2 linked regions of the Schizosaccharomyces pombe genome follow. The gene in region 1 interacts genetically with each later gene. Each region holds a gene or a part of one and is shown in the gene's direction. Other genes may lie near its edges.

Region 1 (7,686 bases):
TTTTAAACAGATTATACACAAGTTTATTTTCTCCTGAAATTGCAAAGTCTGGCATACCTTTGAGCAGTGAACATTCGGATGATGTTGAGGAAGACCGAGTTTTGTCTGAGAAAATGGAACTATTTCAATGGATTACAGAGGAGAACTTAGATATAAAAAAGCAAAAATCTAGCTCAAAATTCTTTAAGCTTGCTGCTGATGAATTAAGAAGAATAAATGATTACCACGCTCCCCGGGACAAGATTATCTGTCTTTTGAACTGTTGCAAGGTTATTTTTAGCTACCTAAGAAACGTTGTTAAAGAGGAGTCAGCGGATATGTTTGTTCCCATTTTGATTTTTGTAGTCCTTCAAGCAAGGCCGGCCCACTTAGTATCTAATATTCAATACATACAAAGGTTTCGTTCTCCCGAAAAACTCACGGGAGAAGTTATGTACTATTTATCTACTCTAATGGGAGCTATGTCCTTCATCGAAACACTGGATTGTAGTTCTCTAACTATAACGGAAGAAGAGTTTAATGCACAAATAGAGAAGTCGATCAAGAAGATGGAAGAGAGAAAGTTGAGCGAAAAGTCTGAATCAAAAACGGCCGTAAACGAGAATGCAACCTACAAGGATCCGGTTCTTTCTCGAGGACTTTCATCATCCATAGATGTATCGACTGGTGTTGCATTGGTAAATTTACCAGAAGAGCTTGAAAATATGAAATACTTGCAAATAGACACTCCTGAAAGCAAAGAATATCCTCGTAGCACAAGGCCGAGAGCTCTTCTCATAGTGGCTCTTTCACAACTGATTCTGGAAAAAGATCACGCAGAAACTCAAACAAGTATGTTGGTTCTAGCGATCGACCTCCCTATCGAGTATCTCGTGCATATTCCTCGTCTGCTACCCATTCTCCCATCGTTCATGAAGAGCAGCCAGTGGATGATGGATTACAACAAAATGATGACCTGCGAGAGGCAACAACAGCGTCTCTTGAGACAGCTGAAGCTGAAAGGCTACAAGCTCGGGAAAAGGCTGAAGCAATTACGGCTTTAAGAGCTATGTTTCCAGCGTTTGACAGTGAAGTGATTGAAGTTGTGTTAAATGCGCAACAAGGAAGGCTTAGTTCATCTATTGATTCCCTTTTGGAGATGAGTTAACATTTGTAGTTTTATGAAATACTCAAGTATAATTTATTATTATTATTATTATTTTTAAATACAAACTTCTAACTTTTTACGACCTGATGTTCTACCGGTTCCAGGAGTCATCTTTGCTGCTTTAGAACCAAACTGAATAGCCCTCTTTTTTTCTTGACTAGCTAAGGGACAACCTAATCGACGTCCTAATTCACGTAAAATTAGTTTGTCACCTCCAACTAAATCTAGACGCATTTTATCAGTAGTTTTCATTTTGCTAAACAAAGCCATCAGACGCTCATCGAGAAAAGGATAACGCACCTCTTTCCCTTGATTAGACATTACCCTGTCATCTCTGCCCAAGTTACGATGTGGAATACGATCAATGTCCAATTGCAGTTCTTCTTCAAGACCGGCCATACCTTTCCGTTCAAACGCTCGTAGGTGCCGCATATAACCACCGAGCTGCTCATCAGCCCCCAGGCCACTGATGAGGACTTTAGCTTTTATAGTATAGGAAGGTAATTGATGTTTCAGTTTGATATCATCCACGTTTTGTAAAAGTACACCACGCCCTTGTGAAGCAAAATAAAAAGCTAATCCAATAGAAAGATCCATAACTGAATCGTTCGGATAGATAAGTGTTTTGACTATTTCCTGTGCTTCACATACTTCTGTATAAGGAACGTTTATAGCAACAAAATTCCATTTTCGAGCAGGGCAAACTGAAATAAGCTCCTGCCAGCCTTGTAATCCAGTTTGTCTATCAGGACATACGTCGTATGCATCAAAATTGTCAGGAAGAAGTCCCGTCTCTCTGTCACGGTATGTCTCTGTAAATCTTGGGTTTTCAAAAGCCACATTAATTAAATCGATGGACTCGTTATTGGGAACTATGTCGTGCATTAGCCGTGCTAATACACCGCAATCCACTCCCCCAGAGTAAAGAACGCAAACTCGGCTATAATGACTACAGTCAAGGTTTGAAGAGCACAGTTTGGGGATTGTTAAAACTCTATCTTGAAGCGCTTTGATAAGATATGTATGCAATGTGTCCACAGTGTCTGAAGAGATTGAGCCCATGAGAAAGGACTCATCCACAGGAGGAAGAGGGTTTGTTTTTTCCAGTTGCATTAATGATTTAGAGAAGTTAATTTTTGGGATCAAGTCCACCTGCACACTATGAAACCCAGGCTCAACTTCTCGGAAATCACTAGAATTTCCTACACTTGAGAGAACGAAATTACTATCTCGTAAACTATACAAAAGGGATCTTCTTCCTAAGCGATCTCTTCCCCACCACAATGTGTTTGTACGAACTTGGTAGTAAACAAAAGCAAAAGGTCCTTGAATACTTCCCAAAATTTTTTCAATGTCGCCCGGGTTATTGTTTAAAAGTTCAAAAAGTTTTGCACCGTCGTTTTCATTACGATTGAGCGTAAATTTGTGATGATCGCTATGGTTTATTTGCCAAATTTCTCCATTCCAACACAAAACGTTTCCAAAACTGTCAACATGAGGTTGAGGCGTTAAATGATCAGAAGGGCCACGTAAATGCAAAACGCTTGACTCAAAGTGCAAATTCCAAGGTCCGCTATTCAATTTATGCTTACCAAAAAAATCAGGTCCTCTAGCCCGAATCCTTTTTCGTAAAGCTGAAAAAGATGGACTTTCAAGAAGATTATCTCTGTCTTCCGCTAAGGCGAAAAGAATTCCGCACATAAACTATTCTCAAACACTTTTGCTTCTAACAAATCTACAGTCAAAAAAGTGTTTTTTCCTTTAACGACGTTTGTGTGGTACAGTGTGATCGTAATTTTATATACAATATCATTTTGCGACACATTGCAACGCTTATAAGTAACTACACACTGAACAGACTCACGGGTCTACATATTTTTTCTTATACAATTATACTTACAACTGGTAAAGAATTTTCTTAGGTCAATCTGTAGCTTGAAAGCCAAAATTAGGTTTCTATTTATGAAACAATAAGCGAAATGCTGTATGCCTGACAAAGCATAATGGGGTAGTTAATGACATTTAAAGAGCTGTAACAATACAGTAAGCATTAATAACGCGCTCCACAATAATCTACTGCCAAAGTATAAAAAAAATAAATTATAAAAAGATATTGTACCATATTATGAAATCGCAACATATAAAATTGTCCAACAAATAACATTGATTTCGTTTGGAACATTTTCTGCATAGGAATGGCTTAATTCACTTTAATTACTAATATATTCGCATTTTTTTACTTTCTGCTGGTATACAAACATTGAATACGTACTCTCTAAGTATTCGTTAAAGGTACAATGTTACCTATTATGAGGCTGGTTTCTATAACAACGAATGTTTGTTTATATTTTGGAATATACACTTAAACAAAGCCAACACTTATTAGCTAAAACACTTTGGATAAAGCAAATATTACTGCTTTCTAAATAATAACTACTTGCTTACAATTGCATTTTTTTAATACAGCTAGTTTTTTTGGGGGACTCCGCTCTTTGAGATATATATCCTTACGTTGGCAACAATTTTCTATAAGTTAATCCCAGCTTGATTTTTGTTTTTCCTTCCTTATCCTTCTCTTCCTATTTTTTATCTTGTTTTTAAGTGTTGCGGCTAGATTTATACCCTGCGAGCTTGGCTATCCTGATTTCTTAAGGTTGTCAACGATCCTGAATTCTTTCCGTTGATTAGTGTCCTGATAGTTGAGAAGCATATCAGCAAATGCATTCACCAATTCCAGAATTACCAAGGTAATCTATTGTCTTATTGTTATTACCCAATTAGGTATCTAACTTCGTTTTTGTAGATTTGAACGTCGATTGACTGGTCCTCGTGCTGCTCCTTCTTCGCCGGTCTCTACTAATGGCTCCCCGCTAAACAATTTAGTTCGTTCTCGGTTATCTGATGGAGCACTTAACTTTACTGGAGGTCGAATAGCTACACCATTACCGCAACCAAGTTTGAAGACTCCTGAATCTCCTTTGTCCAAGAGGAATCCAACAATAAAACAAAATCGTGTACGTTTTGATCTGCCTGATGACGAGCTCTCTCGTTCTAATGTTTCGTCGCCGGAAAAAACACTACTAACCTCTGCTTCTACTTCTACTTTCGATAGCTTAAAAAAGGAGCTTTTACCTGAATTGCCATCTCTTGCATACAGTGACGACGATGAGTTTCCTAGTTCGCCGGAGGAATTGAATTCACATGTTAATTATCCAGACGTACGAAATGTTTACGATTGTCATACCGGTTTACAGCCGCTTGTTGATCATGATTGCATTGAAGACAGACAAAAAACCTTCGCATCCAAACAACTTCCTACTCTTCCTTTACAGAAATCCAGTAAACTTTCCAATCGTAGACCCGCTTTGCATTCTTTTCATTCTGCTCCTGCTAATAGCTTATATCCTTTGCCCACCCCCACTTCACAATTGCCTAGCAACTTGTCCTCAAATAATTTATTTCAATCAGATTCACTTAAGCCTTCAATGGTATCTTCTCATACATCTACAAAACCAGTTCTTTATAGAGGCAATTCTGAAAAATCCTGTCATAGTTGCGGCGGTTCTTTACGCGCTGGCAGAATAATTAGTGCTTCAGGAAAGAAATTACACCCTCAATGCTTCAAATGCGATACTTGTTCCCAGAACTTAGAGCACGTTGGATTTTATTACCGCGAGGGAAAATTTTATTGTCATCTAGACTATCATGAACAGTTCAGTCCTCGCTGTAAGCACTGCAAAACCCCAATTGAAGACCAAGCGGTCCATATCAACAATGATTGGTTTCATGAAAATCATCATTTTTGCGCTGGTTGCTCTGAAGTTTTTAATGTAAATATACCCTGTATTTACCGTGACGACCTATACTGGTGTCAGACTTGTTATGATAATAAGTATGCTGTTAAGTGCAAGAAATGCCGTAAACCCATTTTGGGGATCAGTGTAAAAGGGTCTGATGGTGAATATCATAGCCAATGTTGGACCTGCGGAGCTTGTAATGCCCTACTTGGAGATGAGGGTTATTTTATGATAGAAAATACCCCTATTTGCCGTCCTTGCAAGGCGATATCAGTCAAGTTTAATTTGGATTAACTCAGACTTACTCATCACTTTCTTTTTCTTTTTTTTTTGTTATTTTTTCACTTCTTTCATCGATTTTAGCTTTATAAGGAAAGCTGTCTTGGAAATCTTGGAGATTTTAAATCATTTCATTTAATCCACAAAGTCCAGCATGTTTACTTGCATTTAAACTTGCTGTATTTTTATAATTAAGCAATTAATGATTAGGTAACTATAGATATATAAAAAGCACTATTGAATTTCAACGGTTACGATTTTTGATATCACGTAATACTTAAATACTTTAGATAACTTACCAAAAAATAAAAAATAAAAACATATTCAGTTTGCACAAATGCATTTTAAACTTTCGAAAACCCCTATATTCCTATTAAATATCCAAAATCAAGTACGAAAACAATCTTTTCGACTTGTTAGCAAAACTATAATACAGCATTGAAAAAGTATCTTTTGCAGTAAACACTACCAAACATTATTTTTAAAAGTAGAGTTTTTCTAAATTTTAAAGCAAGTGAAGAAAACAAAAATATTTAAGACGTTTCAAACCTTTTTCAAGTCCACATCCGAATTTCTCCACCAGCACCTGCACTGAATAACCAGGCTTCTTTTGGATGCCAGCATGTGGATAAAACACCGACATTATCAACCACTTTATGATTCCGCAAAATCTTAAGAGGAACAATCAAGGGATTAGCCAGAAGGTCACTGTAAACACGACCGTGGAACACTTGAACATCACCATCATCAGAGCCAGAGCAAAATAGTGGAAGGGAAGGATGATATGAGACATCGCGAAGAGCACGTGAATGATATCGAAGATTTTTATATGGTTTAGAAGAAAAGTCTAAGTCGAACCAACATAGCCTTTTATCATAGGAACCTATTATGACATGGTCCCCACTCGAATGGACACTTAAACTCGAAACCCATTTGACACCAGTTAACAAGGTCTTTACAAGCTCTTGCTTAACAAGATTGTATATGCGGACATATCGTTGAGTAGCAACCAGAAGATAAGGCATAGTAGGGTGAAACGTAACAGCTTGCACAGAACCTTTAGACTTAGAAAATGGCGATTGACTTGCACCTCTTGACAACTGATGAATAAGAACCGCCTGGCTAGAAGAAGTAGGAGAAGAAGTAGCTAGGTAATCACCGCGACGATGCCAAGACAAGGACTTAATGCTACTGGGAGTAGAAACAGTAGCATGGACTATACCACCATGTAATTGTAAAGATTGTTTGGCTCCTCTTCTCCATATTGCACTAGATTCTTGGTAAGGAGCAGAAGTAAACAATTCTTTAGAAGCTTCAATCTGCTCGTCAGAAAAGATCGGGGGTGTGATGAAATAGACTGTTTCATCAACAGCAACAGCAAGCACTGGACTATCTGAAAGAGGTCCCCAAGCAAGTGATTGAATTATAGAGCTCTTTGTAGAGTGACTTAAAGATTCATTAACCGCATCCTCATCGCTATCAATATTATGTGCATTACCAAAACTGTCCAAGCTGCATTTCCAAACACAACGACCAGTCATTACTTCCCAAATACGTAAAACTCCATCATCACCTCCACTTGCAAGCCAATTTCCGCTAACATGGACCGAAAGACAACGAACACGACCTTTATGACCGATGAAAACATTGGTGCAGCGTGTCGGAAATGGACGAAGCTCAGAGGGGGTAGGAAGTTTAGGAAGTAACGATTCTGGATCAATATTAAGTTTGGTACGTCTAACACGGGGAGCTAAATAAAGATCCAAGCAACGTTCAAACTTCTCCTTTATAAGGTTTGAGTAAGCAGGAACAACACGTAAGGATTTATATTTCTTAGGAAAGTCCGAAGACTGTTTTAAGTATTCTTCAGGAGGGTTATAGCTTTCCTCGTGTGATGGAGGAGGAAGCTTAGGTGCAGGTGCATAGTCCAACTTTCTCTGGTTAACAGTTGCTTGATCATCATCCGCCCAAAGATCATGATCTGCATAATTGCTTTGACTTTCGCGTTCACGTTCAGCACGCTGTTCAGAAGTGAGAATTCTTCCTTTACGGATAGCATAAGCAAGCTGTAAAATACGCTTTTGTTCATGCTTAGAGGGAGCAAATCGACGTTTGGGCTCAGGAGCGCTTGAAAGAGGAGTTTCCCGTACGGTGTTTGTAAAAAAATCATCATAATCAGGATATGGATCAAAGTTTTCGTCAGGAATCTCGGATTGAGCAAGTCGCTTTAGCAAACCGAGCTCTTCCGTAGTCAAGTTAACCGGCTTTCCCGTCATAGGATCAACTATTCCAGTCCATCCTTTGTCCTTATCAATGCTAGCAATTAAAGAATCCAAAGCAGCAGGTGTCGCAGGTCGGGTAATCTTTTTTCCATCTATATCATAATTTATATACAAATTCTCATCATAAGGAGATTCATATAGTCCAGGAGCGACATCTTCTGTAGAGGAATCGGAAGAATAA
Region 2 (7,762 bases), on another chromosome or scaffold:
GCAGCGTACCCAAAAGCAAAAGCTCGGCAGAAACTTTCTCATCCAAAAAATTCAAGAACAGTGAAGTTTCGTAGGTGACTACCTCAGATAACAGGCGTAAAAGGATTTGGACAAGTTCAATGCAATTTAAATTACTTTTTTCATATATTTTCGCATAATTAACAAGCTCTTCGCTATAATCCTTTAAGCTATCAACAGAAACTACAGGATTGACATTGAACTCTCTTATATCAAACATCGATGTTGGGGATAGGATAATATGAGAAATGATGGAAAGTTGCGGTAAAGGATTTCTCCAAAGAACCCAGAGAAAGTCCAACGTAAAATTAGTTTGCCTTAACTTGTAAGCATTTGTAAAGATTGTGAAGAACAGTACAAGACTAGGTGTACCCGTTATCATAAATTTAGGATTATCGAACATAGAAAGCATAGCTTCCCAATTTAGGTTTTCAAAAGAGGAAACGATAGCTTTACCCATCAAAACAGTGTCCCAAGCACCATAATCATGTATAGCTACAAGTGAATTTATAAGATAAGCAACATCAGTCTCAGTAGCCGTTCCCGGGGGATATTTTTTAAGAATTGCTTCTTTCATAGACTTAAGTGTAGCTTTGGAAGCTTTCATCGGACCAAACAAAGCTGTAAGAGGGCGTGAATTCGCCAACTTTTTCTCAATTATAGCATCAAACTTTGGAACTTTAATCAAGGGTATTCTGTCATAGTCGGTGGTAAACAAACCTTCCCTGAGCAAATCCAAATCGTTTTTATCAATACTTTGTTGCTGAGTAGGATCGGATAGTTGGTTTAAAAGAGATTGGAATGTGTTTTTAAGCAAAGCAGAAGCTTTCTTTGCTAAAGTAGGTTTAACAGAAGTGGTAAGTCCAATTAAAAGGTTAGTCCTTTCTAACGGGGAGAATTGGAAATGGTCTAAAAATGCCTCTATATCGAAATCTTCAAATACTTCAGAATCAGAACCTGAAATAGCATCACTAAAACGTTTCGCCATGACCCAAGACTTCGTGAGAGATTTTAATTCATCTAGTAGTAATTTATAAGTAGCTAGTCCATCAGAAGATTTACCGGTACCAAAAATACGGTATGAATTTCCTTGAATTAGACGGCGAAGAAAATGGTGGTATACTCTGGGTGCATTTTTGTTGATAAGTTGACGAATCTGTTCAAGTTTCGTATCATATTGGTCTTCCCGTAAGGTCGACAATAAGAAAAGGATTTGTGCTTTAACAATACTTTCAATTTTTGAATCGTTTGGTGGAGGGGTCTTAGAATCTAGTGATATAGGATGCCCAGATTCAGAAGTTGAACTAGATTTCTCTCGTGTCTCCGGCGTTTGTTGTTCTTGGCTCTTCATATTTTTAACGCTTTTCTATTACCATGCCTTTGTGAGGCTATTATTATACTCCTATGCTATTTTCAGCTGATATATTCTTTGAATATTTACAGATGAGATGCAGCAGTATCTGCTAGCAAGTTTGAATGAAAATAGGTGCAGTGGTGTTTTGCAAAAGATATGTCGGTCCTCCTCACTGCCAGGCAGTCTAAGAAAGGATCGAACATTAAATTTAACGAGACTGTATCTTTCGTAAACTTTTTTAACAAAATTTAAGGATAGAGTTAATTTGCAGTTGCTTATTGTGCACTCAGATAGGCAACGGTTGCTAGGGACGGTTGTCACCGCAGTAGTCGCAGTAAACAAACATGTTTACTCTTTTCCTGAAATCGACTACCAGGAATTTACCAACAACAAATCACAAATTTTGCTGCATTTTGTTCTTTCAATAACAAAATGGAGGTTAATGGAGTCTCTCAATCTGAAGCGGCTCCGTACGTTACCAAATCTTCTGTTAAGTTCCGCGATAATTTCTGGGTATGTGTAAATTTGCTGTATTTAGTAAAGCAAAGTTATGTTAACAAAATCGTTGCAGGGATCTGAAGATGCGGGTATGGATGCTCTTATGTCCCGAACAAAATCTTCTCTTTCCGTATTAGAATCAATTGATGAATTTTACGCAAAGCGGTAAGTATGGTTGCCTCGTTTGGAAGTTGCAGCTCTACCTTAAGCGCTACGATGATTCAAGAAATATGTTTTTGGTCGTTTCATTGTCATTTAAGATGTTTTACAGATAATCGTGGATTCTTAAGATAGCTTGTGTAATGAACCGAAGGGTTCGGTATGATTATTGATTAAAGTCTGACTAACTAAATTAGTGCTTCTATTGAGCGTGAGTACGCATCTAAACTGCAAGAGTTAGCTGCCAGCTCAGCAGACATCCCAGAAGTTGGATCAACTTTAAATAATATTTTATCTATGAGAACTGAAACAGGGAGTATGGCCAAAGCGCATGAAGAAGTCTCACAACAGATAAATACCGAATTGCGAAATAAAATTCGCGAGTACATTGATCAGACGGAGCAACAGAAAGTTGTTGCAGCCAATGCCATTGAGGAATTATATCAGAAAAAAACGGCTCTCGAAATAGACTTATCCGAGAAGAAGGATGCCTACGAGTACAGTTGTAACAAGCTGAATAGCTACATGAGACAGACAAAAAAGATGACTGGTCGTGAATTAGACAAATACAATTTAAAAATCCGTCAAGCAGCGCTAGCAGTAAAAAAAATGGATGCGGAATACAGAGAAACAAACGAATTACTTCTTACAGTTACTCGGGAATGGATTGATCGTTGGACAGAGGTCTGTGATGCTTTTCAACATATTGAGGAATATCGTTTAGAGTTTCTCAAAACAAACATGTGGGCCTATGCAAATATAATATCTACTGCTTGTGTAAAAGATGATGAATCTTGTGAAAAGATTCGACTCACACTCGAAAACACTAACATTGATGAAGATATTACTCAAATGATTCAAAACGAAGGTACCGGAACTACAATTCCCCCTTTACCCGAGTTTAATGACTATTTCAAAGAAAACGGATTAAATTATGACATCGACCAGCTCATTTCTAAAGCTCCTTCTTATCCATACTCCTCTTCGCGTCCCTCAGCTTCTGCATCTTTGGCAAGTTCGCCAACACGTAGCGCTTTTCGCCCCAAAACTAGTGAAACAGTTTCATCGGAAGTTGTATCATCACCACCTACTTCACCATTGCATTCACCAGTTAAGCCAGTGTCTAATGAACAAGTTGAACAAGTTACAGAGGTTGAACTTTCTATTCCCGTTCCTTCTATACAAGAAGCTGAATCCCAGAAACCAGTACTTACAGGGAGCTCAATGCGTCGACCTTCTGTAACATCACCAACTTTTGAAGTAGCTGCTCGTCCTTTGACTTCAATGGATGTTAGATCCTCTCATAATGCCGAGACTGAGGTACAGGCTATACCCGCTGCAACAGATATATCACCCGAAGTTAAGGAAGGTAAAAATAGTGAGAATGCTATCACGAAAGATAATGATGATATTATTTTGAGTAGTCAACTTCAACCTACTGCTACCGGAAGTCGGTCATCTAGGTTGTCTTTCTCTCGACATGGACACGGGTCTCAAACTAGTTTGGGATCTATCAAACGAAAATCAATAATGGAGCGTATGGGGAGACCCACTTCTCCCTTCATGGGTTCTAGTTTCTCTAATATGGGTAGCCGAAGTACCTCACCTACTAAAGAAGGATTTGCTAGCAATCAACATGCCACAGGCGCGTCTGTCCAGTCTGATGAGTTAGAAGATATTGACCCCAGAGCTAACGTTGTTTTAAACGTTGGACCCAACATGCTTTCTGTTGGAGAGGCACCAGTGGAATCCACATCCAAAGAAGAAGACAAAGATGTACCCGATCCCATCGCTAATGCAATGGCTGAATTAAGTTCGTCAATGAGAAGACGCCAATCGACATCAGTTGACGATGAAGCGCCTGTTTCTCTTAGTAAGACGTCTTCTTCTACAAGATTAAATGGCTTGGGCTATCACTCTCGAAATACTTCTATAGCTAGTGATATAGATGGCGTTCCCAAAAAGAGTACCTTAGGAGCTCCTCCAGCCGCACACACTTCTGCTCAAATGCAACGCATGAGTAATAGTTTTGCTTCCCAAACAAAGCAGGTGTTCGGAGAGCAACGAACCGAAAATTCAGCTAGAGAATCCCTTCGTCATAGTCGAAGCAATATGAGTAGATCTCCTTCTCCAATGTTATCGAGAAGAAGCTCCACCTTGCGCCCAAGCTTTGAGAGGTCTGCATCTTCTCTTAGTGTACGCCAATCTGATGTCGTTTCGCCAGCACCTTCTACAAGGGCTCGTGGGCAATCAGTGTCTGGTCAACAAAGGCCATCTTCATCTATGTCGTTGTATGGTGAGTACAACAAATCTCAACCTCAGTTGTCTATGCAACGTTCTGTTTCTCCCAATCCGTTAGGCCCTAATCGTAGATCGTCATCAGTCTTACAGTCACAGAAATCTACTTCATCTAACACATCAAACCGAAACAATGGTGGTTATAGTGGATCGAGACCAAGTTCAGAAATGGGTCACAGATATGGGTCTATGAGTGGAAGGTCCATGAGGCAAGTTTCCCAAAGATCCACCAGTCGCGCACGGTCACCAGAGCCGACTAATAGAAATAGCGTTCAATCAAAGAATGTCGATCCACGAGCTACTTTTACGGCTGAAGGAGAGCCAATTTTAGGATATGGTAAGTTCATTAAAGAGAAACTTTAAAAATTTTTAATTTTACTAATTATAATTCAGTTATCGCACTTTATGATTATCAAGCTCAAATACCTGAAGAAATTAGCTTCCAAAAGGGCGATACATTAATGGTTCTTCGCACACAAGAAGATGGATGGTGGGATGGTGAAATTATTAATGTTCCAAATTCAAAACGTGGTTTATTCCCGTCGAACTTTGTTCAGACGGTATAGACACTGATTACCCTCTTTTCTAGATGTTTACACTTGCATTCTTTTTCGCGTGGTTACTATCTCTTACTAATCCGTAATTCCTTATTTTTTTTTTGATGACTTAACGCGAAACGACATGCTTTTTTTTTTTAAATTCATTTCTCGTCATGGTCTAAGCTTCGTTGCATTGCATAGGTATTTATACGCATTTATTTTGATATCTAAAGATTTCTGTTTTAAAGGAAATACACATAGAATCTAGTTGATTGGAATATATTTTATTTTATTTTATTAACAATGTTTGACTCCTTTGTCCTTTGGCTATTGTAAGACGTAAGAATAACACTAATTGTTTTTGAAGATTTCGTGCATTTCAAAGTTTCATATGATTTTTACATCAATTTCAAAACCGATTTTAGTAAATTAAAATCAAGGTACGATTTGGTATGTAGCTTTGACAAGATATAGCTAAATTGCTAATTTTTATCAGTAACTAGAGGATAAAGTTGAATAAACCAAAAATATAACACGATGATGAATTTGCCTGCTCAAAAATATGATATCCGCAGATGTAGGATTCTGAGCTTTACTTTTTAAAAAGAAGCCGACCGATAATTACCAGAAAATGCATTTGTGGATAAGGTATGTTTGAAGAGTGCAAACCCAGATTTTTTGTTTGGCTATAGATACAGTGTGCATCAACTAGCTTGTAAACATGAGTGTTAGGAGATATGAATAGATGCTTATAAAATGATCTGATTGAAAAGAAGTCTCGCTAGCCTGAACAGATAAGATTATTGATTGAGGTATAAAAAGACATAAGACCCTGATTTTGCAAAAACACATGCGTGCCTTTATATTTACATACCTACTTAGTGAAAAAGCTACAGATTTTGTTATTTGCTTTAACGATACAATGAACTGCGGTGAGTTTCGCTTATGAGCTGTTTATTCTATGATACTTTTGAATAATAGAGGTAACAGTTGCTATATATATTGTTATATGTAGGTACTGTTGTAATTTGTCGCTGAGAAAGAACTGAAGAACGAGGATCTATTTATCGTGTATTATTCTTAATAGCTTATATTTTATTGTATTGTTAGCAAGATCTATCTCATGTTCGTATTATCATGACACGATGTGCAAATTGAATGAATGAATGAATAATGATATGTAGCGTAATGCAGTATTACTGACACATACACTGATTTTACACAGTATCTCTAAAGCCGTCAAAAACAGAGAAATTAATTATCGTTAAATTATTTAACGCCATAAATAGAACTACTGCCAAATTCACCAGAATATCATAAATGTAATAACGAAATTTTTCACCAGAACCTTCAATTTTATTGATAGCGGCCGTGATAATTGGTTTTCCCGCACATTTTAGATTACTTAGATCCGATTCATTGGCTGTATCCGTAGCCTTCGGTTTAATTCAGGAAATGCAATTGGTGCGCTGTTAAAGGTAAGGAGCGGCTTCCTCGGTTAAATGACGAATGTCCTGCGTTCCTTTATTTATTTTATTTACATCTTCTTTTCCTTTTCCTTCTTTACTACACATGTCAAATTAATAGCCACTAGCTTGACCGATTAGAGAGAATCCAACTTTTTTCTTTCTCTTTCATTCCTGTTGTTTTGTATCTGTCTACACTTGTTCGTTTTAGCGGTGCGGGATTTCCAAGTGTATTAACGGGTGTCTGTTTGTGAATAGTTTTTTTTTTTGTCTCGTCTTAAGGCTCCTTCGTTTCTAGTTTTGTAATATCTTTTTTTGTATTATTTGATAATTGTTTTCATTTGTTGAGAAAGTACTTGATATTAGCTTCTTGTTCTGTTCGTATTAGTGATTACTTTTAAATTTTTTCAGCAATTGTGCTAAAGTGCCTAATTAATGTCTTATTTATCGAGATCTGCACTCGCTCGGTCAGTCGGGGCTAAACACCTTACTGGGGTATTGAGAAAAATCGGGAGAAGGGGAGGAAGATCGATGCACGTTCTCCCTCTCGCTTCTCCTAGTACTCTTTTAAAAATCTCTTCTCAAACTTTACGTCAAGATTTCACCGTTCTGGGCGCTCGTAATTTTCATTCAAGTTCCGTTCGACTTAATGAATTGACGGATAATTTGCGTAAACTAGATACTATTGAGCGAGAGGTCGAGGATGTGGATGTGTGTATTGTTGGTGCTGGCCCTGCGGGACTTAGTGCTGCCATTCGTATCAAGCAACAAGCTGCCAAAGCCAACAGAGACATTCGTGTCGTGGTACTTGAAAAGGCTGCTGAGCCCGGTAACCACAGCGTATCTGGGGCTGTAATTCAACCTACTGCCTTAGATGAACTACTTCCTAATTGGCGTGATGACCCACCTGAAAACTGTACTGCTGTTACTCACGATAAAATGAAGTTCCTGATCCCAAAATTGCATTTCCCTATTCCTGTCCCTCCAGCCATGAAGAACCACGGAAATTATGTTATGAGTTTAGCAGAATTTACCAGATGGCTAGCTGCAAAGGCCGAAGAATATGGAGTTGAAATATATCCTTCTTTTGCTGCTTCAGAGGTCCTCTACAACAAAGATGGTTCTGTTATTGGCGTTGCCACTAATGATTTTGGTGTCGATAGTAAGGGTTTGCCCAAAGATAATTTCGAACGCGGCATGGCTTTTCACGCACCTGTCACCTTATTTGCTGAAGGTGCTCACGGTTCCCTATCAAAATCTATTATTAAGCGTTTTAATCTTCGAGGAAATTGTGAACCTCAAACCTATGGTTTGGGTGTAAAGGAGGTTTGGCGTGTACCTGACGAGAACTTTCGCAAAGGTGAGGTAGCCCATACATTAGGATGGCCAATGAGGAATGATACATATGGTGGTGGTTTTATGTATCAATT

What was found. A genetic interaction does not mean that the proteins touch.
Region 2: mutations in pxl1 (region 1) and cdc15 are lethal when combined (synthetic lethality), as found in Schizosaccharomyces pombe (4 studies listed by BioGRID, with this or other methods).

What each region holds. Positions count from the first base shown.
Region 1 is NC_003423.3:2,708,647-2,716,332, forward strand, and holds pxl1 (paxillin-like protein Pxl1), read left to right. Parts: upstream 1-3,521; 5' UTR 3,522-3,865; coding exon 3,866-3,894; intron 3,895-3,950; coding exon 3,951-5,238; 3' UTR 5,239-5,561; downstream 5,562-7,686. Other genes in the region: asn2 (asparagine synthase), read right to left, coding at 1,202-2,848; erb1 (WD repeat/BOP1NT protein), read right to left, coding at 5,778-7,686.
Region 2 is NC_003424.3:1,396,929-1,404,690, reverse strand, and holds cdc15 (F-BAR domain protein Cdc15), read left to right. Parts: upstream 1-1,754; 5' UTR 1,755-1,804; coding exon 1,805-1,885; intron 1,886-1,943; coding exon 1,944-2,035; intron 2,036-2,211; exon of another isoform or gene 2,212-2,226; coding exon 2,227-4,664; exon of another isoform or gene 4,665-4,675; intron 4,676-4,720; coding exon 4,721-4,893; 3' UTR 4,894-5,491; downstream 5,492-7,762. Other genes in the region: CCR4-Not complex subunit Not1, read right to left, coding at 1-1,369; cir2 (electron transfer flavoprotein-ubiquinone oxidoreductase), read left to right, coding at 6,768-7,762. UniProt on the Schizosaccharomyces pombe protein: After the onset of mitosis, forms a ring-like structure which colocalizes with the medial actin ring. Appears to mediate cytoskeletal rearrangements required for cytokinesis. Essential for viability.